Linked DNA regions of Nothobranchius furzeri. The protein of the gene in region 1 interacts with the protein of each later gene in a pairwise test. Links are inferred from orthologs where the notes say so. Each region holds a gene or a part of one and is shown on either strand. Other genes may lie near its edges. The genes, in order: rpia, stk16 and pcmt.

Region 1 (8,567 bases):
GCACACGCCACGGCCCTGGTAAAAGTTAGTATAAAAACAAGGTGAAAGTATAAAAGAGCCGAGGTTACGGTTATAAAAGTGTCGCGTGCTGGACGCCCCGCTGAACGAGCTCTTTAAGTAAACATAAACAGCCTCTGGGACACCATGTTGTTCTCTTTATACTAGACCCAGACTTTCCGTAGTAACGCTAAATCCCGCCTCGTTTCCACACCGGGATTGGACCGTAAACCCGCACGGGCCTTGCGTTTTAATGCGCGCGTTTCTCATTGCGTACTTCGCTGTCAGTTACACGTCCTCGCTTACTAAGCACAACATGATTGCGTTAGATATCCGTCACTCAAAGAGGCGGACCCGGAAACACCGGCCTCCAAACACTCCGTTTCATTGGCTAAACTCCTGTTCGTCACAGGTGCGCGTGCGCACTGGATAAGTGACGTAAAAAGTCCCCGGGGGCAAAATCTGTTTGGTTGTTGAGATTGGTCGGATGTTTAGTCGTTCGTCCAATGACAGAAAAGATAATGAAATCACGTAATGTTATTGGCCTAAATCAGTTTCGAGTGACCTCATGTGAGCACCTGATTGGTTAATTCAGCTGTCGCTTAGACGCAGTTGTCAAGAGCCGTCGACATGAAAAACAACAACGTGGCCCGGTGGAAGTAATCGGTGCAGTTCCTGTTTCCGGTTACGAGTTCAGTTTTACACTTTCACTAAAATGCAGCGACTGTGACACAAATCAAGCAAAGAAACGTGTTTATGAAGCCACGCTCCTAGCCTACATTTACGTGCCCGTGTTACTGATGAGGAGTTTATAGTCCTACCAGGTAACGGCGCTGCTGTCTCGTGGTGAGCATGGACCTGAACCACGTTTTCACGAATAGACCTCATTTTTGAGAGACGAACGCAGACACAGGAAATGTGGCCTTTCGATTGCATGGACACACTGCTGCCAGACACTTTAATCATCAATCCTTTTATAAGCATGAGTATGGCACAACACTGGGCAGTCTTTTACAGGCATTGAACACTGAAGTCATACAAAGGGGAAAGGTGTACAAGTACATTTGAGGTCTGTTTTCCTCCAACAAACACCGAGGCTTCAGAATTCGATCCTAATGACTGACTAGTTCAATTCCACAGGAACACGTTAAAGATGGTAGAACAAAAACATCTAAGGCTCGGAACAGCAGCTGACATTGGTTTATACAACAGAAACTTTAGTGTAAAGTGGCTCTAGACACCCAGTGACCTAACACCATAGTAACATAAAGGCAGGTATAAGCTTATACCTAATGGCATGGTCCCAACTTCTGCTAAAAGGTGGAGGTAAAAAAAACACATGAGAAAACACACAAATACATGCAAAACACCTCAAACTCGCAGACGATTCAAGGAAGACCTGAAGTTTCGTGTTGCACTTTTTGTTTTGGCATCATTTCCTCCAGTTGTTTCCTTATCCGAAAGCTTCCTCTGGTTTATCGCTGTCACACCAAACCAGGATACTCTCCAAGGCTGCACCAGTTTATGCTGGTTTAGGTGACCGGGACTGTAATGATCGAATAACTGAAAACTGGTCCTTCATTACACAAACAGAATATCAATGGGAGCTTTTAAAAGGCGTGCTTTTATTTCATTCTACTGTTTCACCAGACAAGAACTTCGATCATACGTCCCTCCAGTCAAAGCTCTCTGTTACAGCAGTAGGACTCGACTTTCCTCATCAGGCACTTAAAACTCATCAAATCAAAAGCATGGACGGGAAAAGTCAACAGCTCCGATGTTTCTTCTTGCTTTGGTGTTTTCTGAGGCAATAATTCCTGACGACGGCTCTCGTGGAACAGATTTGGTCAATTAAAAGGAGCGACAGCTAGGGCTGTAGCTTTGGTCAGTGTATGATCCGTAAGATTTAGGTTCAGCAAAATGTTTGCAATTACAGTGAAAACCTTCAGAGCAAACCTCTAACTGGTGTTCAGTTGGCTGGACATCCATCAGTTTCACTGCTCATGAATTAATTTGTAGAAATATCTTATGCTGCAGACTCAGGGTGCCATGCGCAGGTGGAGCAAACAGGTAGATCCACAGACAGCAGGAATCCCCTAAATAACTGATGACTCATCAGGATGTAAAATTACTGATGAGTCATCTATTAAACAGGTAACCCATTAGTTGCAGCTCTACTACCCATGAGTGTGGCAAACTGGTCAGTTGACTGGAGCATCCCGAATCTGCACACTTCCATCTTCCATCCCAAAGTATGCTCGTTCAGCCATGTTCACGAAGAGCCCGGTTTCTACGACACCTAAAGAACGCACAAACTCCTGACGTAAACATGGATTTTTATTTTATCACATTACACAAAAACTCAGAAACAAGAGTTATCCCATCCCACCAGCCAGCATGTTTTAGTGGTTTTTCGGCTCACATTCACTTGATTCCACTGATTAACTCATTCACTGCCAGCCATTTCCTGATCGGTAAAGCCCTTCGCTGCCAGCGTTTCTCACCATTTTTACTGTATTTTAAGATGCACAGAACATTGCGCGCTAGGATAATGTTGACGTAAAAACTACCAAAACAAAGAGGAGACTCGCCTCTTACATCAGGGAGAATCTGCACGTTTCAAACGATATCTGTTCTTTCATAATCCGTTTTTGTAATTGACCAATTGTGATCGGCAGAAGCTTTTCCAGTTTGCGCCTCACTTTTCTTTACAGCAGCGGCCCAAAAACGATCTAACTAGGGTTGTCACGGTGTGAAAATGTAACCTCACAGTTATTGTGACCAAAATTACCACGGTTTTCGGTATTATCGCGGTATTTTTTTAAAACGTGTTACATTTTCACACAATTAAATAAACCCTGTATGTCAGGAAATATTGTCCTCAGTTTTAGGGATGCACCGATGGATCGGCATTTGATCGTAATCGGCCGATAGCGCCCCTATCGGTTTTGATCGGAATTTTCAAAATAGATCAAAGCAGACCGATCAGGTAAGGTTGTCACGGTAACCAGTGTAGCGGTAAACCCCGGTAAAAAAAAAAGTTGACAATAATAACCGTCTTGTTTTTAAAAAATATATATTTAGCCTAAATTTAGCCTAAAATGTGTTATTTTGTAATTATGTTGTTTATTTGTTTACATTTTTTTCCCTGTAGTCTTTAAAATACCAATATTTGCCCATAACTTCTTATTTTGTGTCTGTTTGATGTCATCATTTAAAAGTATTAGATCAGATGATACTCAGTACTCAAGTAGCCTTCTAATCAGATACTTTTTTACCCTTACTTGAGTAATAAACCCTATATCAGGAAAATATTGTCCTCGGTTTGTGTCCTTCCAGTGAGCTTTGCAGATGTGGGAAAATGTCATCAGGCAGTAATCATTGTTAAATTCATAATTATTCTCGGAGAGAGACCAACTCTTATCTGCCCCTGGAGCCCCGTAATGCATAGCGTCATTTCAACATGGCGGTGTCCGCGACACGGTTTACATGCAGGTAGCGGCGCTGCGGCTGCTTTATATAGCAACTCGTTGCATTCTCCCTCAACCCAAATCCTCGGATCACGCATTTTAGCTAAAGCGCTAACGTTAGCTTGCCTTGCGTTGACTGTAGAGTTGTGGGTGATGGTCACGCAGATGTGTCATGAGATTTGAAGCGTTGCTGCCTTTCACAGACACTTTTTCTGCACGTGCTGCAAACAGGATAGCCGTCTTCTATCAGCTGTCTCTCGGCATTCTTCAATTATCCAAAAGATGCCCGTACTTCCCACTTTGTCTTCTCTGAGGGATAATAAATGTCCTGAGCGCTGCCGTCTCCTCCTTTGGCCATTATTTCAGCTTTAGCTTCAAGAAACTTTTGGTCGTAAACAACAAAGTGCGCATGTGCCGCCGGCAACTTCAGCAGATGATACGGTGGCTGGTAAGGGTCACCGCGCCTACACCGCAGCCACGGTAATCCACCGAGATAATGTAGTTTTTTAAAAACAAGACGGTTATTATTATTGTCAACTTTTTTACCGGGGTTTACCGCTACACCGGTTACCGTGACAACCCTACTCCTAACACGTGGAGTTTCTGTTTCCTGGTCACGTGACGTGTGACATATGAGGATGAAGATCGGCTTTAGAGCTGAGATGTTTGTTCTCACGGTGCGGGGGCTCGTTCCGATGCCCACACAGCAAAAAATGTAAAGGACGGCTTTAGTCGTCATTGGCAGTGAATGAGTTAAAATCAGGTGTGTTGGAGCAGAGAAACAACTAAAACAAGTTTGATAAGACCAGGGCTGGACACCACTGCGGGATGTAAACAGTATAAAAGTTCCTCACCAGGAATCATTTTGATTGCAGTGTTGACTTCCTTCCAGTTCTGACCATGCTCAAACTTCCAGTCCAGGATGAAGTTGCTGTTGTCTGTGACGACAGGACCCTGAAATCCACAAACACACCACCTGACTTTAATAACATCAACCACTTTGGTCTGCATAGTCTTTTCAAACATGGCAGCTCCTTTTACAGAGGGTTCCTAACCACTACTTCACACTGGAAACTCCAGCAGCGCGGAATGGCCGTGGAACGTTTTACTCACAAGCTTCAATGCGGTCCAGCACGCGCTGGGAGAGCCTTGGCCACGGAACGGCTTCCTCGCTGTGCTCCTCACTGGACTCACAACATCACAAATTCCTTCAATACTTCATGGTTCACATTTTGTTAATGCCATGCGCCATTTGGCCAAAAAGAAGGAAATGACATTTGATAGCATTTATGACGTTGTTCCTCTCCACTGCAGAACGAAAGCCATGAAAAACACACTGCTGCACTTCTGGAGCAATTCAGGGAGTAAATAAGCCGTTACGTCACAATTATTGATGTACTCCACATAGATATGAAATTACTTTGCTGTAATAGTCTTTTATTTTGAAAATACCGGGGTGGGGGGTTTACACTGAAACCGTGTGTGATTTCCTGTCTTGCCCCATGCTAACTGCAGAAACTGATGTGCCCCAGAAGCCACTTGTGGTAAAGAACCTGATCCCATCTTTAGCGGCGTGGCATGTCGCTTCTGGAACAAACCTGAAAATGCCCGCGTCGCGGCTGGTCGGCATCACCACTTTAGACTATAATGAATTATATTTGAGGCCGTGACAATCCGCTGCCATTCCAAGCTGCTAATGCTTCCAGTGTGAAATAGGGGTAATGAGTTGACTGCCTAACCAAATTAAAAAAGGACACTGAAGGATTACCGCAGATTATTTAACCCCAACAAATACAACAATGTGGAAGGACAGGTCCTGTAGATGTTAGTCTGTTTAAACACAGCAGAGAAAGAAAATCACTAGTGGCCGACACACAATCTGTGGGACCTGTGCTGAAGAACTGCTGGAGTAGGTCTCCCCTGGATATTCCAGGATCAACACCTTGATCAAACTGTGCGGCCGGAGATTCTTCTGCTTCTCCAGTCAAGAAAAAAACGTGAAAGACAAAAAAATGAAGGTGTGTGAATCGGTCCCTTACTGCTTTACTGACAGCCATTCTTAGGACAGTCTCCCCTCCGAAGCGCCTAACTATCATCCTGGAGACGGGAACATAGGCCATGGGAATAACTTCAATGGGAACTCCCTTCTTCCACTGCTGGCCTAGAGCCTTAGAGTCCTTCCTGACAGATGAAATCAACACAAATGTTAAACAGGACAACAAAGTGTTCCAAAACACAAATCAGACTTGTTTAGTTTGATGGTAACAAACCCTCCATCCAAAAACTTAAAGATTAAGTCACCACCCTGCTAGTGTCTTACTCCACCCATACTTCCTGTTTGAAACATTGAGCCAAAAGGAGGCACTGGCTTTGTCCGAGATGAGCAGCGCCTCACCTGGAAAACGGACGAGAGCAGACGGACGCAGCAGGGGGAGTGGCTGAAAGCCGGCGTTTAAGTCAGACACATTTCCTTATGCAGGCGACGATGGCTGAAGATATCACGCTAGAGTTCATACTAGTGTCAAATTCTGGTGCCTGTTAGCAACTGAACCACAGCCTCACGTGCTTGTGGATGTCATATACTGTAGACATGTGCATAGGAAGACATGACTGTATTAATAAGTAAAGGTTGTCAGCTGCAGGTTTTTAGAGTGTTTATAGGAAATGTGGTAAAGGAAAATCACATTTCTCTGTATGGCGTACATAGTTGTCAGCATCTACGTAACACGATTTACAGAATACATGTGACCAACTAACATTTCACATTCTACCACAGGGTGTTTGGATCAAAATGGGAACCAATCAGATCTTAGATCAGGTGAGAGCCAGGCGTTTCCCGCCATGCCCTAGGTTGTGCAGCCGGTGGAGAGCAACTGCAGCGCCTTGCTCCAAAATCTGCAGCCGCCTTGATCTCACGAGGTTATCGCTGCCTACGTATGCATGACGTCAGAGCAAGTCGGCGTCAAGTCGGACACGAATCTAACCGGCATGCACTGCAAAAATTTCTAAGGGAAACACTGAGCAGTCAATTGTGATGGGAGGTTTTATCTGCATCTCCTTCGCCAGAGGAAAGAACGGAAAGGGAGGAAGAATTTTGGAGGAAGAGAGGAGCCCTGAGCCTCATCGTTCCAGACCAATGGCTCATGAGTGGATCGAGGCCACAGATGCCGAGTCTTGGGGGTGACTTGCTCTTTAAACTCTAAAGGTAAACCAGTCAATACAGACCTGTAGTCAGCAACAACAACAAATCGTTTCGCACAGCCAGCAACGATCTTCTCCTGAGTCAAACAGCCGCTGTCAAACAGAGGAACATTTAGTGAGAAACATCATTCAGCAGGGCCTGAGGGGTGTGTGTGTGTGTGTGTGTGTGTGTTTTTACTGCATACTCACCCACCACCTTTTATCAGTGTGAGCTCAGAGTCCACTTCGTCTGCTCCATCAATAGCAATGTCCAGCTGAGCCAGGGCAAAAAGCACAGCATTAAAAATGAACTTCTGCAGCAGCTCTTTGCTGTAAACACATCATACCTCGGAGTGCCTGTCCAAGTCTGAAAGAGTGAGCCCGTGCTGCAGGATCAGCTGCCGAGCCTGCCGGAGGAACAAAGGGAAGGGCAGAGATGGGAAAGGGCTTCAGTACAGTTTATTGTGGACAAGCTTCACCATAAGTTTACTGCACATTCATTAGATATTTGTGTTCTACTGAGTAACACTGGATCACAGCAACAGACCTTTAGCAAGAGTTGCATGCAGCAACTTCCTCACAAAGCTTCTGGTAACAGTTCCCCTGACAAGGGTCTGAGGCTGACTGATGCTTGAACTAACCTGGAAGGAAGTGGGCACACACACAACGTTGAGCTTTTCCTGACGTACTCGCTCCGCTGCAACGCATCACACACACACACACACACACACACACACACACACACACACACACACACACACACACACACACGTCAAATACATTATGTGCAACAGCATATCTGAAACCATTTTCTACATCAGATTGAGGTGTGTGTATGTGTTAGACCCAGGTTTCCGCTGGTTTTACCTACCTAACCGATCCACGGCATACACAATGGTTGAGCCACTTCCCACTCCGATCACCTGGTTGTTCTACAGGTGAGAGGAAACATGATGATGTGACACTTCACATTCAGCAGAGCCCTTAGTGAGCACCAATAAAACCATCACCAAACAACACATGACCCGTGTGTAACCAGTCACACCAGAGACACACTGTCCAACAACAGAGAGGTATTTACATCCTCACCAGAGTTAACTACTGAGGGACTGTGGAGCTATGAGAAGAAGCTCTGCTCAGGGATGGCTCCAGTGCAGATGGTAGCAGACAGGAGAATGCTAGCTAACTGTCCTAACTCCTGGGCAGCACCCGTCTCTACATTAACAACACAGCCTTTAGCTGTAGCAGTAGCAACAGGCAGCAGGAACTCTCAGTAAACAAACACAAACACCTTTCAGTGATTAGCTATAGCAGCAAGAAAACACCTACCCAACAGCTAAACTAGCTGAACTCAACACCTTTAGACATGTCCGCTAATGCTAAGTAGCTTAAAATTCTGCAACAAGTTATATAACTATACTTAGCACATACTAACATTGCTATCTAAGAGCTGTTTTAGTCCCGAACCATGCAGCAGCATGCTACGTGCTAGCTAGCACTGTAGCTAACGTGGTGTTGCATGACTGTACCTGCACGTAGTTATCCACAGCGGCGTAGGCGGCCAGCTTCTTCGCCTCTTCTGCCATGTTAGCAGCAAACAGTCGGAACAGACGAACGTGCTTCAGGGCGCTGAGAGAGGCCAGCGTAGAGGTGGGAACCCCAGCTGCGAGTTTACGGAGAAACGCTCACCTCTGGAGTCTCAAAAATTCCACTATCTCCGCTCCGCCCCCACTTTCCGCTGCGAACTCAAATGAAACGCGCCACAGTACGGCTGACGTAACCCGCTACTCCCGTCTCTCCCTGTATGGAAAGCCAAAATCGCCACAATACGCCACTTTCCCAACCCGTCTAGTTAGGAAATGGCGAAAAAAACGCCGTTTGTTGTGTCAAGACGGCGAAAACTCTGCCAGAACGCTGTAT
Region 2 (6,894 bases), on another chromosome or scaffold:
CGATGTGCTGGGCAGTTTTCCCAACCCTCTGCAGTGTCTTCCGGTCTGAGGCGGAGCAGTTCCCATACCAGACTGTTATACAGTTGGTCAGGATGCTCTCGATGGTGCCGCGATAGAAGTTCACCAGGATGTCTGAGGACAGGTTGTTCTTCCTCAGAGTCCTCAGGAAGAAGAGGCGCTGGTGAGCCTTCTTGACCAGCTTGGAGCAGTTGGTAGTCCAGGTGAGATCCTCGGAGATGTGGACTCCCAGGAACTTGAAGCTGCTCACACGCTCCACTGCCGTCCCCTTAACGTGGATGGGTGGATGTGGGTCAGCATTCCTCCTGTAGTCCACGATGAGCTCCTTAATCTTCTCAGTGTTGAGCAGCAGGTTGTTTGTGTCGCACCACTCAGTCAGACGGTCCACCTCCTCCCTGTAGGCGGTCTCATCGTTGTCACTTATGAGGCCAAACACCGAGGTGTCATCTGCAAACTTAATGATGGTGTTGGAACCATCAGCAGGTCTGCAGTCGTGGGTGAAAAGGGAGTAGAGGAAAGGGCTCATCACACAGCCTTGTGGTACACCAGTGTTCATTGTGATTGTTGATGAGCAGCGGTTATCCAGTCGGACATGTTGAGGGCGGTTGGTCAGGAAGTCCAAGTTTGGGTGGGAGGTTGGGTCAGCTCATACATAAGTGGCTCTATCGGCAGCTTATAAACCTAGAAGGGCTCCTAGTCAAGTAGAATTGGTGTTATTTTAAATCAGAAATAAAAAATCAATGACAGTTTTTTTTAAGTTTTAAAAACATTGTCCGTAGAAATTACAGATACTTTCTTAAAAAGACCGTAGGATCAGAAACCACCTTAAAATATTACAATAATTCAGTTTGGCACAGCATTGAACGCCAATCTGATAGTTTTATTTTATTTTCAGGCCCTTTTGAAAATGTTGGGTTAAACAATGCACCAGTCAACATGGGACAGACCCTGTGTGTGTGCTCTCGTGGCTCCATCACCATTGACAGCAAAAAATACTACTTTGTCCAGAAACTAGATGAAGGGTAAGTTGACAAGATCTCTCTACTGATTTACAATTTCATACTTGTATATGGTAATGTTATTGATTTTTGTTCACCCCTTTTTTAAAATGGAGCACAACATGTGATCTTTCTGTTCTTTCTCTTCAGCGGCTTCAGCTTTGTTGATTTGGTTGAGGGGGCAAAGGATGGGCACTTCTATGCCCTGAAAAAGATCTTATGTCATGATCGCCAAGCTCGTCAGGAGGCACAGACAGAGGTGGAAATGCATCAGATGTTCAATCATCCCAACATCTTGAGCCTGGTTGCACACAGCTTTGTTGAAGGTGGAGGGAAAACTGAAGCCTGGTTACTTCTGCCTTACATCAGAGTGAGTTGCTACAGCAGTTTGCCTGATGACGAAGATGTCTCAAGGAACATTCTGACTCCTTTGTATGTTTGTTAACAGAAAGGAACCCTGTGGTCTGTTTTGGAGAAGCTAAGAGAGAAGGGGAGCTTAATGCCTGAAAAACAGATTTTAAAAATCTTCCGTGGAATCTGTTCCGGTTTGAAGGCCATTCATGATAAAGGCTATGCCCACAGGTAAAGTTTACATTTTAAAATATTCTGAAGAGCACCTGTGATCATTGACTTCTTCACCCACTGTGTAACTTTGTAATTAAGACAAAAATAAATTGCTGACAGAGACCTGAAGCCCACTAATGTGCTGCTGGACGATGACGACCGGCCACTCCTGATGGATCTGGGCTCAATGAACCGCGCAAGAATTGAGGTAAGAGGAACAGGTCATTAGTTTCTACAGACTATTTAAATCATCACCTGTTTTCTCACTGTTGTCAGCAGTTGAGAACAAATTTTAACAAAATAACAATTCAAATAACCAATTACAAATTTTATTATTCCAGAAAGTTTAGAATTTTACTAAACGTTGTTAAATTGTGTTTTAACTTAATTTTTTGGGCATGCTAAAATTGAATAAAGTGGGGATTTTAAATGAAGAAAACAGTGATGCCAGACAGTAGGGTCCTTGTGCAGATGTAAGAAAATACCTGAGTATTCTTTCAACTGACAGTTCTTGTTTCTCACCTCTAGATGGCAGCGTAACAGCATCGTATATTAAACTAGTTGTGTTTTAAGTTCGTTTCTGTCGCTTTTCCTAGTTCACTTGTTCTTTGTCTATTTCATGTGTCAAAGTAAATATCATGTAAACATGAGATCCAGTGATGTTTTGGTTTTTTGTTAAATTTTTTGTAGTTTAATTTTTTGTGGTATTTTATTTTTTCTTAGTGATGACAACCCAGCTGAGTGTCAGATATCCAGAAATTAGACTTTATTTGTCTCTCAAAAAAAATATTCCTCTCAAAATCAGGAAAATAGATTTAAATGTTGCTCATGCTGTGAGTGATTTGATGCAAGTAAATTTTTTCAGGTCCGAGGATCCAGAGAAGCCATGACCGTCCAGGACTGGGCAGCCCAGCGGTGCACCATCTCCTACAGGGCTCCTGAGCTCTTCAACGTAGAGAGCCACTGCATTATAGATGAGCGCACTGATATCTGGGTAAGAACTTCATGTCTTCTTCCTCCCTGTTTTTGTTTATATAAATTTACACCACTGACATCTTGGGTGAGCTGGAATGTTCCTGACTGATCCGCTCCTGTGCCTTCAGTCGCTTGGCTGTGTACTGTACTGCATGATGATGTTAGAGGGACCATATGACCTGATCTTTCAGAAAGGGGACAGTGTTGCTCTGGCTGTCCAGAACCCGGTGACCATCCCAGCGTCCTGCAGGTCAGAATTCAAACTTCCCTGATTTCTCTGGTTCAATTCAATCCAATTCAAAAATGCTTTATCAATCCCAGAGGGAAATTGATTCTGCTGTTCTGCTGCTGCTTCTTTTGGTGATTGTTAAAATAAAAGTGTGAAAAGTAAATGAAATCTCAAGTAAACATAGAATGACGGTTTCTGACCTGGTGTTTGTTTTTTCCAGGTACTCAGAGGGCCTCCGCGTGCTGCTGAGCTCCATAATGGTCTCAAATGCACAGGAGAGACCAAACATTGTCTGGGTTCTTGACCAGGTTCAGGACCTGCTGAGTCACAGCCCAAACACTCAGACCAACATGGTCTGACTTCTGCTCACCGCACCACATCCTGAGCTCTGGACTCTTTTATCCACTTCAGTCAGCGTTTCCTAATTTCGCTTTAAAATCTTATTATATTTAAATTGTTGTAAAAGAGTGGATATTTTATCTTTTCAGCTTGAAAAATCGCCTTTTTTTGTCTTTTGTTCCCATTGAACCGATTTAAATGAAACGCCTTAAGTGAAATTCAGCCTTAAAAGTAGAAAGTTTTAATTTGTTATCAATGTTTTGAGCAAATAAAACAAAAATAAACACGGGTGTTCTGTTAGGCTAAGACGGAGGCGTTCGTGTTGAGCTAAAATCACTCGTTTTGTTCTCTTTTGTTTAACTGGAAGAGAACATACTCACTGGCTTTTCAAACAGCAAGCAATGCATTTTATTATTAAATATGATTAAAATATTATTGATCAAGTCACTTGCCATGTTATGTCTTTCTGGCTTTGCCTGTACAAAAAAACAAACCAGAAAGATGGAACCTGTTCAAGGACGAGCTTTAGAATATTCTACTTTGTTTTTACAGGGATGAAGGGAAGATTTTAACGCTTTAGCTAATGTTCTCATTAATAAATGCTACATTTTAGTACATATTACCTTGCGCTCCCTAAAAAAGGAGTACAGTTTAGTTTCTTTTATTCTTGTTAGGGTTGGGCATTGAGCATCAATTGGAACCGGTTCAAACTGTTAGTTTTTCCCGGAATCGTTCAAAGTTTTTTTGTTCGATTCCTAGAATGCCGACGGAAGAGGAATCCGCGGCCGATCTCCCTGAAAAATAAACGTGATCTGCAAATTGTGATCAACGCTTTTCAGAGCTGATCACACCAGCTGTCTGTGTGCAGCACCGCGTCCCCCCTCCCCCCACCCGGCGCACAGCGGCCAAATATAAACAAACGCGTCTGCCGAAGTTTTACTCCGTGATGTAAACTTTAACTCCTGCAGCGTAGAGGAAACTTGTTAAAATACGTCAACACGGTGGATTTAATAGAAGCTTTAAAGAACAAATTCTGGACGATGTGAGGTGAGTTTGTCTCACTGCAGAAATACAAACACACACGGAGCGTCAGCAGTCAGACACAGCTACTCACCAACGTGTGTGTGTGTGTGTGTGTGTGTGTGTGTGTGTGTGTGTGTGTGTGTGTGTGTGTGTGTGTGTGTGTGTGTGAGCATCAGAAGGCTGAACAATAACATGTAGAATAATTAAAGTCATCATGCTAAAGAAGCTTCTCTGTGGTGGACCACACCAGCTTCTGCCACAATAAATATTAATAATAATAATAATAATAATAATAAATCACACACAAAGTTGTGAACATTTCAATTGACTTTTTTGAACAATTTCTGTTGAGTTTTAATGTTTAAAATCTGTTAGATTGTTACTGACAGCAGCTACATTCAAGTTTCACTTCCTGTTCTGACTGAATGCTGCTGCAGCATGGAGGTGTAGTTCTCAGTCATCCTGGACATGATCATCCTGAGAGTTTTAGCTGAAAACAGCTGGACGTTTCTGGATATGTTGGAGAGGCTTCTTCCAGACTTTGGTTGTGGTCAGAAACAAACACACTGGTTGTGCTGAAAGTCTTTTTCTTTTTTTTCTCCAAAACACGTTTTTGTCTAAATGAAGGTGATGTTATTGTTCATAGAGTTAAAATTCATGTTGAAGTTAAGATTATTTCATCAAGTAGGACCTGTGGTTAGCTGGCTCATGTAAAGCATGTCACGTCTTGAAAGAATCGGAATCGGGAATCGATAGGAACCGGAATCGAAACGAGGAATTGGAATCATTCAAAATCAAACGATACCCAACCCTAAATTACTTGTACTCCTTTTTTCACCTCGATTCCTCGTTTTTGTGTATCTTCCAGCTTCTCCCAGTGTTTCTGCTCAGACTGCAGTCACAGTAAGATTTTGTTGAACACAAAAGTATTTTCCTCCACAACAAAAAAGAAAGACTAATGTAATTATTGCACAGCTAAAGAATGTTAGATGGTATTTTATGAAAGGGTAACATTTTTACTTCTGGTTTTATTGTGTTTTTGAGCAGTTTAGTGTAATAACCCATTCCAACTATTCAAGTTTAATGGCTTTATGTTGTGTGAGGATTTCACACTTTTGTTTTCTCAGGGCACAGTTGCATCTCAAACAGTCTCTTAGCAGACGTTAGTGGTACTTTTACGACTAATGTTTTGGGCATTTAAGTTTAAAGCTTCTGTGATGCGGTGCAGTTGGACCATGTGGTGGCTGAACTCGGCCTGGATCGTTGAAAAGCAGACTAAAGAGTTTAAATATTTTTAGATGCAACGTTTGGAGAGGACCAGTGGATATAAAGTCTTGTGCTTTTGTAAATGCTAAAGTAAAACTGGTTTACTGCGGCTGGTGAGAAGAACTATTGTAAAGTTACTGATATTGATATGAGTTTGCTGATGAAGACTGACTATTATGTTTAAACCTTTATCTGTTTGATGCACAGTAATTGGTGTATAAAGAAAAATGTAGCAGTCTTGTACTGTATACTTTTTAATAATTGTGAAATAAAATCGCTTCAAATATTTAAAGATTCTCATTCAAAGTTTGTCTTTATAAATTAATGACATCTTTATTCAAAACCAGCTACAACTCATTATCAGCTGTCGTTTTAGCTGTGTTATCCATACATCCATCCATTTTCAGCCGCTTATCCGGGTTCGGGTCATGGAGGCAGCAGCCTAAGTAGGGAGGCCCACACTTCCCTCTCCCCCAGCCACTTGGGCCAGCTCCTCTGGGGAAATCCCGAGGTGTTCCCTGGCCAGCAGAGAGACATAGTCCTACCAGTGTTTTCTGGGTCTGCCTTTAGGTCTCCACCTGGTTGGATTTGCCGGGGAAACCTCACCAGGGAGGTGTCCAGGATGCATTCTAATTAGATGCCCTAGCCACCTCAACTGGCTCTTACCTGGGCTGCCACCTTACCATGGTGGAGGATTTTAATGTCCCATTGATCCCAGGAGCTAAGGTGTCTGAAGCTTTATGCCTCAGGTAGGGTCACCCATGGCAAACAGGTCTTAGGAGAGGGATCAGACAAACTAAGCCCACAGACCCCTTATGACGAGTACCATATATAGAAACAGTTTTCCCTTGTCCGGAAATGTGTCACCCCTCTGGAGTTGTGGCGCGTTGGCGAGCGCCTGGTGGGGCTCTCATGGGAGGGGCCAAAGAAGTTGGGTGCAGTGTGAGATAGGCTGCAGCCGAAGGAGGGGTCTTGGCGGTCTGATGCTCAGCTACAAAGCTAGCTCTCAGCATGTGGAGAAGAGTTTCATATTTGGTTTTACTAACGGACACTAGGGGGTGCTAAAAGCAAGCCAAAACTGCATATGTTTCCTTTAATTAAAGCAATAATGAATCTAGGGATCTGGTATTTCTCTGAGATGTTGTCAAGAAGACTTTAGCAAAGCCCAAAATACTGTTAAGTGTAAATTAAGTTTTCAAAGTACGCAAATGGGATCAATTAAATTCCATTTCTTTGGCAGTAGTTTCTCTCAGGAGGTTACTAAGCAGTTCCACTGTGGAAAGATGTTCCAGCAACACAATCAGTTCTTCCATCACTGCCCTTTGCTGACAGTAGTGTATTTTCTGTGTGTGTGTGTGTGTGTGTGTGTGTGTGTGTGTGTGTGTGTGTGTGTGTGTGTGTGTGTGTGTGTGTGTGTGTGTGTGTGTGTGTGTGTGTGTGTTTGGAAACACACATTGGTAACAAGCTGCTCAGGTGTCTGGA
Region 3 (8,937 bases), on another chromosome or scaffold:
CTCCTTAGCACTCTATGCTAACATAACGCTAATTTTACGTAAATTCTCCGGCGTTGGGTACGGATTTTTGTCACAATTAAACGTTTATAAGGATAGTCAAAAGAGTGGGCGAATACTGAGTTTAAGAGTTTTAAAAAGGATTAAAATCAAACAACACAGCAGTTTTCAAGCGGCCTGTGTGTAATAGGAATCCATTTGATGCTATTCAACAACAGGTTGCGCATTAGCCTGCTAGCTCCGATAACAACAACTCACCAAAGTCCGCCGCTGTCGCTTTTCCTATTATTAACGGACAGTAGTGGTTTGCTGACCCTCCTCGGCGTCGAGGACGCGATTTGAAGTTAAAATGCCCTTGTTGTTCCGCGCCGACTGGTTCCTAGTCTTGTTGAATTCCTGGGATATCTGAATGACAAGTACAACAGCTAAGCTAACGACGCACCATCAGACGCTGGACTTTCACAATAAAAGTCAGTGGAGAAATTACTTTTTTGCTAAGTTTAGAACAAAATAACACTAATAAAACTAATGAAGAAAATTTTAATGCTTTTTTTTATAAGTTTTTTTTTGCTAACCTGTTAATGAAGTCCAAACACATTTCACAGCACAAATCTTAGAAATAAAAAAATAAGAGCATTAATATGTATAAAAATAAATCAATTTCCCTTTGGGTGAGCACATAACATCTATTTGTAAATTTACAGAGCAACATAAGAGCTCACAAGGCTGACTTTGACATTTTTATGTTGGTAGGTTTGATTTACAATTTTACTTGATTTGTCAGTATAAAAAAACGTAACATCCTGAGACAATTTGAGAAAGTTACATTTTATTTCTTTATTGTTTTTTAAGTAATCTGTACAAAACATTATTAATCTGAACAATTGTGTACAGAATGACATACAAAAACACTAATCCATATTCTGTCACTGCAAAGAATGAAGCATTGCATCAGACACAGAGGTCTTTCATTGCGTAGGTATATTGGCTTTTTGTGTAACAAAAAAAAAGTCTTCCAATGTGTCACAAAACATCAAATTAAAATTTGCATTCATGTATTTATTAGTCACCTCCAGATCTTTTAAACTGGGACCTGTTTGTTGATAAAAATAGCCTCTCCATCAGTTCCACAAACTAAGCACTGTCCAAGCACATCCAAGCTGTTGACAGACAGCGTCTGGCTGGGCAGCATGTGGGTCGTCTCCAGGCGGCTTTTACTGGAGTCTCCGTTGAGCCAGGCACTGATGAGGGACTGGTTTCCTCCAGCAAGGGCCATCGCACTGCGAGAGGTCACGCTGCTGTTTCTGCTACCTGGAAACACAACAATAACACTTTTTACAGTGAAATTACGACAAATAGTACAACATGACAATGTTTAATAGACTGACCTGGTGTTGGACATTATCAGGAAATTCTTTGTTTATTTAACCCTAAATAATGTAAACTTTCAGTAAAACATTCAACTGGATATTTTCTTGATTATGGCTTTTGTGTTTCCATAGAATCTTTATAATTAAGAAAATAGAAGAAGTACATAGGCAGCCTTTTAAACTGAATACCAATAATAATAATAATAATGATTATTATGATGAATAGGACTTGCCTTGTAGAAAGGAGGGCATGTCTGAGTGGGAGGACGTCTCCCAGTGCAGCAGCGATCCATCCTCTGAACACGTGAACAGGTGATCTGGGTTGGTAGGGTGGAAGTGGACCTCCCACACTGCCAGGAAAGTTAGACAAAAAGCATTAAAAAAGTGAAAAATATTTAAATATGTGTGTAAATTATATGTCCATTAAATAATTAAAAATGTACATCTTACTTTCAGCTGAGTGGGCCTCCATGAGGGATGAGGGCATGCTGCCTTGCCTCACATCCCACATACAGAGCATTCCATCCTGGCCTCCTGTGGCTACAATGTGCTGCTGGTTTGGATGTCTGTCAATGCAGTACAAAGGAACTCTGTCTCCTGACCTGATTGGAGGAAAATTAAAATCCACATACATCAGCAAAATAGTAGAATTAAAAATGGGGAAAACGTGCTAAAGCGGATCTTACAAGGACAGAATCTGTGATGCCGAGTTGCTCTGTTGTCTTAGATCCCATAGCTTTATTTGTCCGATGGAGTTCACAGTCAAAATCTCCGTCGTCCTCAGGTAAGTCACAGCATGAATCGTGCTGCTGTCAGCATTCTCTACCAAATGTACCCGCAAAAGCATGTTGACTTGACACCGAGTTAAAGTGTACAGAGTTCTGAATGGGGTGGTTTAATCTCACCTATGACTTGAGCCATACAATCCTGGTCGGCTCTGAGGACAATAATCCTGCCGTCCTCCCCAACTGTGATGATCTCAGGGCTGCTGCACACAACTGCAGTGCAGGGAGCATTGTCACAGGGGTAATGGTGCGCTTTCACCCACTGCTGGGAAACTGAGATTGTCTGATGTAAGAAGAAAAAATGATTTTATAAATAAACAGCAAAGGCAGCAACACAACCTTCATACAGGAGTTGACATCTTTTATGAAAGCTCTACTGCACCTGACTGTTGTGATGGTGGCGGAAGATGGTGACTGCTCCCGTTGATGAGGCCGTGACGATTCTCTCTTGATCCAGGAACTATAATCAAGTAGTATAATCAAGTCTAATTTGGAGGAATTGGACAGCTGAAGCTCGACTAAAACTGAGTCATGCAAAACAATGTCCCACGCACGTGTCAAAATTTCAACAGAATGGCTGCAAAACAAATGAGTCTGTGTTGCAAATCCTCCTGCTGACTATAACAAGGCTGTGCACTGAGAAATCCTGCAGACCTACAAAGAAACAAAACTATTGATGCATAGAACAACAGATTTGCCTTCTGTATTAGCAAAATTCTGAAATGCGCAGAAAATGTACTTTATTTGTTTTTATGTGCATCTCTGCAGGGTTCATTGTTGTTTTAATTTCTTTAAAGTGCGTACAGCACTTTGGTCTGTCTTCTGGTCGATGTAAAGTGCTTTATAAATAAAGTTGATGGTGATGAATAATTGCATTATTAGTATGTTATGACATTATTGTTACAGCGTCTTACCTGGAGGCCAAGAACATCTCCATCGTGCTTGTTTTCACAAATAAGCTGCGGATCTCCTTCAAATCCATCTTCCAGGCCCGAATTTTCGTAATTACCCACGGACCAAATAGATATCTTGTTTTCCTACAGAAATAATTTTTTTTTTAAATAAAGGCCACATCCTTGCAAAAAAAATGACCAAAACGAACCTGACAGACACACAAAAAAGCAAACTATGTGTAACAAGTGTTAAATCCTTTTTGACAGTTACAACGTGTAAGTGTGCATAATCAGGAGAAACACAGAACATTTGAAAAACTGGGTAAATTTGGTTCACCAAAAATATTCAACTAGCCAACCTCGTTGTCCCACGATCCCGTCGCAAAGATTTCTGGTTGTTGTAAAAACGAAGACGACACAGGACGCCATCTGGCCTTGCTGACTTTTTGGGACACGTACTTAGCACTCTCCATGAGAACAACCAACGTTTCTGCTGCCTAAATACGAAAAATATTCTTATTGATGTTAGCTTAGCTCTATGTACGCACCCACTAGCTTTAAACGTAAGTACGGTGGCTCAACAGGATCAAACAATCTGATCTGCGTTTCTCGCAAGAAATGTGAATTTGTACATTCCGCCACCTAGCGGTCGTCTCCGTTGTTACTGCGGCAAAAACCTGATAAAGCACTGCATGGCTGAGGAACGTGGCTTTTATTCCCTTTCGTCTGACGCTGACTTTGATGCATCATGAACAGATTAATTATATTCTAAAATGACATATTTTTCTGCTTGGTCGTGCATCTGAGAGGCGGCTCTGCTCTGTAAAATCATTTGGATGTCTAGTGACGTATCCGCCGCTACGCCGTCTGCTCTGGAGGTTGTCAGCTTCTTTGGTAAAACTATTGGCGCAGGCGCGGCACTTACAGCTGCTGTCTACTTACTCCGTAAAGTCTGCTTAATAATGGCCTGGAAATCTGGAGGAGCCAGCCACGCAGAGCTTGTCAACAACCTTCGCAGTGAGTCCGGTTGCAGGTTTAAAGCGGCAGCAGCGATGAACTTCACCGCCGCGTCGCCAGAAAACGTTGTAGTTTGGAGGCTGGGGTTAGCTTAGGAGCGGTAGCTACTAGCAAGCTATGTTTATGGTGACCCAGCGTCTCCTCCCGCCTCTCCACCCCTTTTCCTAAACCACGTTTTTCGCTGTGGGACCATGTGTGGGACAAGGCAACGCTTTTGTCACAGCAGGGGGGAAAAACCCAGCAGAAATGACATTTCCGTTTTGTTGTAAATCGCAGAAAAGTGGTGTCCTGTGGGAAGTTAGCTTAGCATGTTAGCAGTATGTGCGTCATTTGAGATTTTATGCTACTGCCCACTGTCATTGATGTCTGTGTCTTCTACTGGACTTCAATGTGAATGACAGTAACAGCTGTACATGTCCGGATAGTTTCTGCTGAGCTTTAATACTCGGATACATTTAAATAATGACAAGTTGCTGTATCACTGCAGCTGTTAGCTACATAGCTCTGTGCCAAAGCCCACGACTCATTTCCATTTAAGAAGCCTGATTGTTGAACATTTTCAAATTTCTGTGCATATATTTTAGCTGATGTCTTTCCATGGACATTTAATATCCTTTCACAATATTTTAATAAGAAATCGATCAACCTTAGTCGATCTGCAGAAATCAAAACAGTTTCTTTATTGTTTGCACACATTACAACCTGCAAAATGTGTTTTAAATTATCAAACAAAAAAGTCAGAGTAATTTTGAGAATTTTGTAGGAGGGTGTGCCTAGCGTCAGCTTGGCTTTCTGGGCTTATAGACACGACCTATTTTTCCAGTTTATATCTAGTTACCAGTTCAGATCTTGTTTTTTTATATTCTAAATTAATAAAAGTTTATTCATGTAACCAGCCTGTCAAAAAGACAAACTATGAAGTAAAGAAAACTGTAATGCTGGCATAGAAGTAGGGATGTAAAAGTCAACCGAAACCAGGAACCGATACCAATGCAGTTGCCTGAAAGTGGCTTCACCATAACTTGTCATTTCTGTTCACCTAATATTTCAGTTTTGTGATCATTTCTATGAATATATTTTATTTTTTATCTACCTCACAATCTTTTCCTGTTGAAAGCAGAGAAGAAAATAAAACCTGTATTCCAATTCATTGCATTATTTGTGTGGTAGAAGTATCGGCGAGTACTCAGATCCAAGTATCAGTATCGTATCGGTTTGGACAAAAGTGGTATCGGTGGATCCCAAGTATGCTAAAAGACATACAGTGTCATTTCCTGGTTCTCCAGGACAACAATCCAGCACATTTTAGACATTTCTGTTTCAACACACCTGATTAACAGGTTTCTCTGGACCTTGATGACATGTCTAAAAGGTAATATAACCACTGAAAATCATTACAATAGCAAAAGCATCCTGGTTATTGTTCCAGGAAGACCAGGATTGGACACAACTAGTGCAAGAGGAACCCCTGACAATTGTCTTTATGGTGTTTTTGTGATCAAATAAAAGAAAAAAATGTCCTAACACCTTCTGTTGCCTTTGCAAAATACTGTACATCAGTAAAAGATGGATGACTTAGCTGTTACGTGGTCCAGAGTCCACTATAATCAACATCATGGCTTCCTCTGCAGTCAGTCAATGATGACTACTGTAAAAATATCTTTAGACTCTTTTTCTAGTGCATTTAGCAAATGAAGATGGGATATCTGCAAGCGCGATACTGCAAATTAATTCTCACTCTTAAGTATCTACCAGGTCTATTTGTATTGTGTGCAGTCTGGGATGTTATTGCAAGCTGCAAGTTTGCCAAAAGCTGCGTTGTTATTCACTGTGTTATATTTTCATTTATAGGGAAATTAACGTAAGTTATACAGAGTTTACATTTTTAGCAGCTCACAAGTTTGCAAAGCTGTGCAAAAATAACATTTATTAAATTGAAAGCCTTTAAAAGAAAGTCGTTACTTTGATAATTTTTAAATCAAATTGGTTAATCTTACAAAAGCAGAAGCATAAAAATAAACAAATAAAAGGTTTGATTCGTAGTAATCAGTTTTTCTTTTCTCTTTTTTGCCTCTTGTGGTCTGACCTGTATAGACATTTAACCCAGAGTTTGCATAAGATGCTTTTAAAGAGGTCACATGCAGAACGCATGCTAATTCACCGCTAACTTACTTTCCTGGTAAATAAAGGCAGTTTGGACTGTCTCCAAAGCCTCACCTGTTTCACTGGGCTGCCTCCAAATTTTAACATAAATAAAATCATGGTGGACAGCCAGCAAATAAATTCGTGTTATTTTTTTATTTGTAAATATGAAAGAAAACGACAGGAAGGAAGCAGCTCAAATGGTTTATTGATCATTTAAATGTCAGAAATCAGTGGTGGGTGTCTATTTGGCAGTTTTATTTGGAGTGTGTCCTAAAGCTGCGCGTTGCTCCGTGGGTGAGGGGAGCGAGGAATGAGAACCGCCTGCTGTTGGCTTTTTCTGTTTTTGGCACAAGGTGCTGCAGTGATTGAGGATGGATTCAAATTTGAATTAATCAACAGTTTTTGCATCCTTTCGGCTTCTTTTCAGCTCCAAACACGGATTATTAACTTTGTGTGGTCGGTGCAGCCTGTTTTTTAGCTGCTGTTTATAGTTTATCTGACATGTCCACAAGAATTGGTCTTGGTTTCTAGTTGGGGGTGCTGTAATATGCAAATGTATGACTTTTCATAGTTTTTCCCCCTCAATTTTCAAGAATAAAGCAATGATATCTTATTGTATTTTAGTGAAAATGTGTTCAATTTTTGCATTTTTTCAGTATCTAAATTATTACTTTTATAAATGTTTTATTCTGTTTTAGATTCACCTGACTGTCGTTAGCCACCAGGGGTTTTTGCTGTAGGTGTTGTGGTTAGAGCTTTCTCCCACATTATGTATTCATTTATATAATGCAACACAAATCGGGTGTTTTTTTTTAATGGGGGAAAACGTGTGCACAACAACACATCCAGTTTGGCGCTATGCAGTCGTTCTTATTGAGTTGGTGATAATTCGCAGTGTTGAACGTGTTGCAGCGCCCTCTAAGCAGCAGCAGCAGTAATTGTGGTGGTTTGTTTCTTTTCTGCATCAACCCTTCTGCCCTTCGGCTGCAGGATTATGTAACGTCTCTCTGCTCGCGTTTCCAGAACACGCCGTGACACAAACTCTTTTGCATCCTCAGAAAATGGCATTATTAAGTCCGACAAGGTGTTTGAAGTCATGCTGGCCACAGACCGAGCGCACTACTCGAGGTGTAACGCATACATGGACTCGCCACAGTCTATAGGTAGGTGTGTTCACGGATCATCGACGCGTGGCAGTTGGACATCAGAGGATAAACTAATCCTTCCTTCTTTTATCAACAGGCTATCAAGCAACCATCAGCGCACCGCACATGGTAGGCTGTTTCTGCACTCTCAATCTTCTGTTTTAGTTAAATTACCGAGACTTCATTTGTGCTTGCCCCCCACCCCTCACCCAGCACGCCTATGCACTGGAGCTCCTACATGATCAGCTGTGCGAGGGCGCCAAAGCTCTGGACGTCGGCTCCGGCAGCGGGATCCTGTCTGTTTGCTTTGCACGAATGGTGAGCCCACACACATGACGGGTAAACACATACGAGTTCTCCTTGGCAGCGCTGTGATGTGTTCGCTGAACCAATCGCTGTAGAGGATTTAAGAATCACGACGGTTCGAATTGACGTTTTGAGCTTAACACTGTCGTCTTCTGGGCTTTTCTTTCCTTTTCTAGGTAGGTCCTAAAGGAAAAGTTGTAGGAATCGATCACATCAAAGAGCTGGTAGACGATTCTATAAACAATGTGAAGAAAGATGACCCCAGCTTGATAACGTCAGGCCGAGTCAAGCTAATAGGTAAGATGGATTCAGGATTAGAGTTTAATTTGGACTTTTTGAACCTGCTGAAGAGCGTGCGTTGCTCCTTACCGGTGGAAAATCTCCCGTTTGCCCGATAGGCCGTCTGCAGCGCTAAATAATTGAGCAGAGCAGCGAGTTCCTACTTTCACCTTCTCAGCAGGAGGCTTGAAGCGCTCTTACAGCCAGGTCATTCACCAACGCAGGCAGACACTCGTGTTCCTCTGTAGGGCTGCGACGAATCAGAAGTGACTTCTATATGACATCACAACACATTTACATTCCCTCGTGTGCACCGCAAAGTAGGTAACGGGGGAACCTTGTTTTGCAGCAATAATCTGCACAGAAGATTCTAGATAGTAGCTAATAAAAGAAATGGGTTATTTAGATTTCTCTGCTTAAATTGGTGAAAAGTCGCCAGCTCTAGGAACAGCAGCGGCAGCAGATTTTTGGACGAGTGACGAATCTGTCCGTGTTGTGTCGAGGCTGGCAGCCTGGAACTGATACCCTGCGGTGTGTTTTCAGTGGGAGACGGGCGAATGGGACACCCAGAGGAGGCGCCGTATGACGCCATCCATGTTGGTGCAGCAGCTTCCAACGTCCCCCAAGCTGTGAGTCATTCGGAATATTTTAGGTTCTGTTGGAATCATGACGCTGGAGGTTTACCCGAAGCATTGACATAATTATTGTTGTTTTGTTATTATTGTGTTGTAAGATCAGTTATAGTTGAGGTTGATGCAGAAAGCGTCTAAAACCTATAAGATCTGGGATCTAAACATTTTTTCTTTCAGTATTTTAGAGTAGATGTTTCATATTTTTTGCATCTAATGGATAATATTAGTGCACTTTTGTTTTGCACTAAACTAAATTCTACATTCTCTATATTTTATACAAATATTTATAATTTGTTCATGCTCTAAAAAGTGTGATGGTTACTAAACTAGTTTACTGTTAGCTGTGTTTTTGTACCAGGCACTCTGAT

What was found.
Region 2: the proteins of rpia (region 1) and stk16 interact in binary tests that used the Homo sapiens proteins (3 or more experiments, as listed by UniProt). The two-hybrid records come from large-scale screens. The link is inferred for Nothobranchius furzeri from reciprocal best matches to the Homo sapiens genes RPIA and STK16.
Region 3: the proteins of rpia (region 1) and pcmt interact in binary tests that used the Homo sapiens proteins (3 or more experiments, as listed by UniProt). The two-hybrid records come from large-scale screens. The link is inferred for Nothobranchius furzeri from reciprocal best matches to the Homo sapiens genes RPIA and PCMT1.

What each region holds. Positions count from the first base shown.
Region 1 is NC_091758.1:5,545,225-5,553,791, forward strand, and holds rpia (ribose-5-phosphate isomerase), read right to left. Parts: upstream 8,381-8,567; 5' UTR 8,234-8,380; coding exon 8,177-8,233; intron 7,580-8,176; coding exon 7,519-7,579; intron 7,345-7,518; coding exon 7,289-7,344; intron 7,055-7,288; coding exon 6,995-7,054; intron 6,923-6,994; coding exon 6,858-6,922; intron 6,762-6,857; coding exon 6,693-6,761; intron 5,649-6,692; coding exon 5,507-5,648; intron 4,422-5,506; coding exon 4,322-4,421; intron 2,297-4,321; coding exon 2,199-2,296; 3' UTR 1,983-2,198; downstream 1-1,982. UniProt on the Homo sapiens protein: Catalyzes the reversible conversion of ribose-5-phosphate to ribulose 5-phosphate and participates in the first step of the non-oxidative branch of the pentose phosphate pathway.
Region 2 is NC_091749.1:40,859,402-40,866,295, reverse strand, and holds the end of stk16 (serine/threonine-protein kinase 16), read left to right. Parts: exon of another isoform or gene 1-221; intron 222-913; 5' UTR 914-954; coding exon 955-1,040; intron 1,041-1,166; coding exon 1,167-1,386; intron 1,387-1,464; coding exon 1,465-1,598; intron 1,599-1,700; coding exon 1,701-1,788; intron 1,789-2,445; coding exon 2,446-2,574; intron 2,575-2,683; coding exon 2,684-2,805; intron 2,806-3,004; coding exon 3,005-3,143; 3' UTR 3,144-5,704; downstream 5,705-6,894. UniProt on the Homo sapiens protein: Membrane-associated protein kinase that phosphorylates on serine and threonine residues. In vitro substrates include DRG1, ENO1 and EIF4EBP1. Also autophosphorylates. May be involved in secretory vesicle trafficking or intracellular signaling.
Region 3 is NC_091742.1:11,413,538-11,422,474, forward strand, and holds the start of pcmt (protein-L-isoaspartate(D-aspartate) O-methyltransferase), read left to right. Parts: upstream 1-3,724; 5' UTR 3,725-3,881; coding exon 3,882-4,062; intron 4,063-7,265; coding exon 7,266-7,370; intron 7,371-7,449; coding exon 7,450-7,481; intron 7,482-7,565; coding exon 7,566-7,670; intron 7,671-7,834; coding exon 7,835-7,955; intron 7,956-8,480; coding exon 8,481-8,566; intron 8,567-8,937. Other genes in the region: nucleoporin Nup43, read right to left, coding at 1,079-1,308, 1,601-1,717, 1,818-1,969, 2,054-2,189, 2,273-2,435, 2,535-2,612, 3,067-3,189, 3,405-3,518. UniProt on the Homo sapiens protein: Initiates the repair of damaged proteins by catalyzing methyl esterification of L-isoaspartyl and D-aspartyl residues produced by spontaneous isomerization and racemization of L-aspartyl and L-asparaginyl residues in aging peptides and proteins.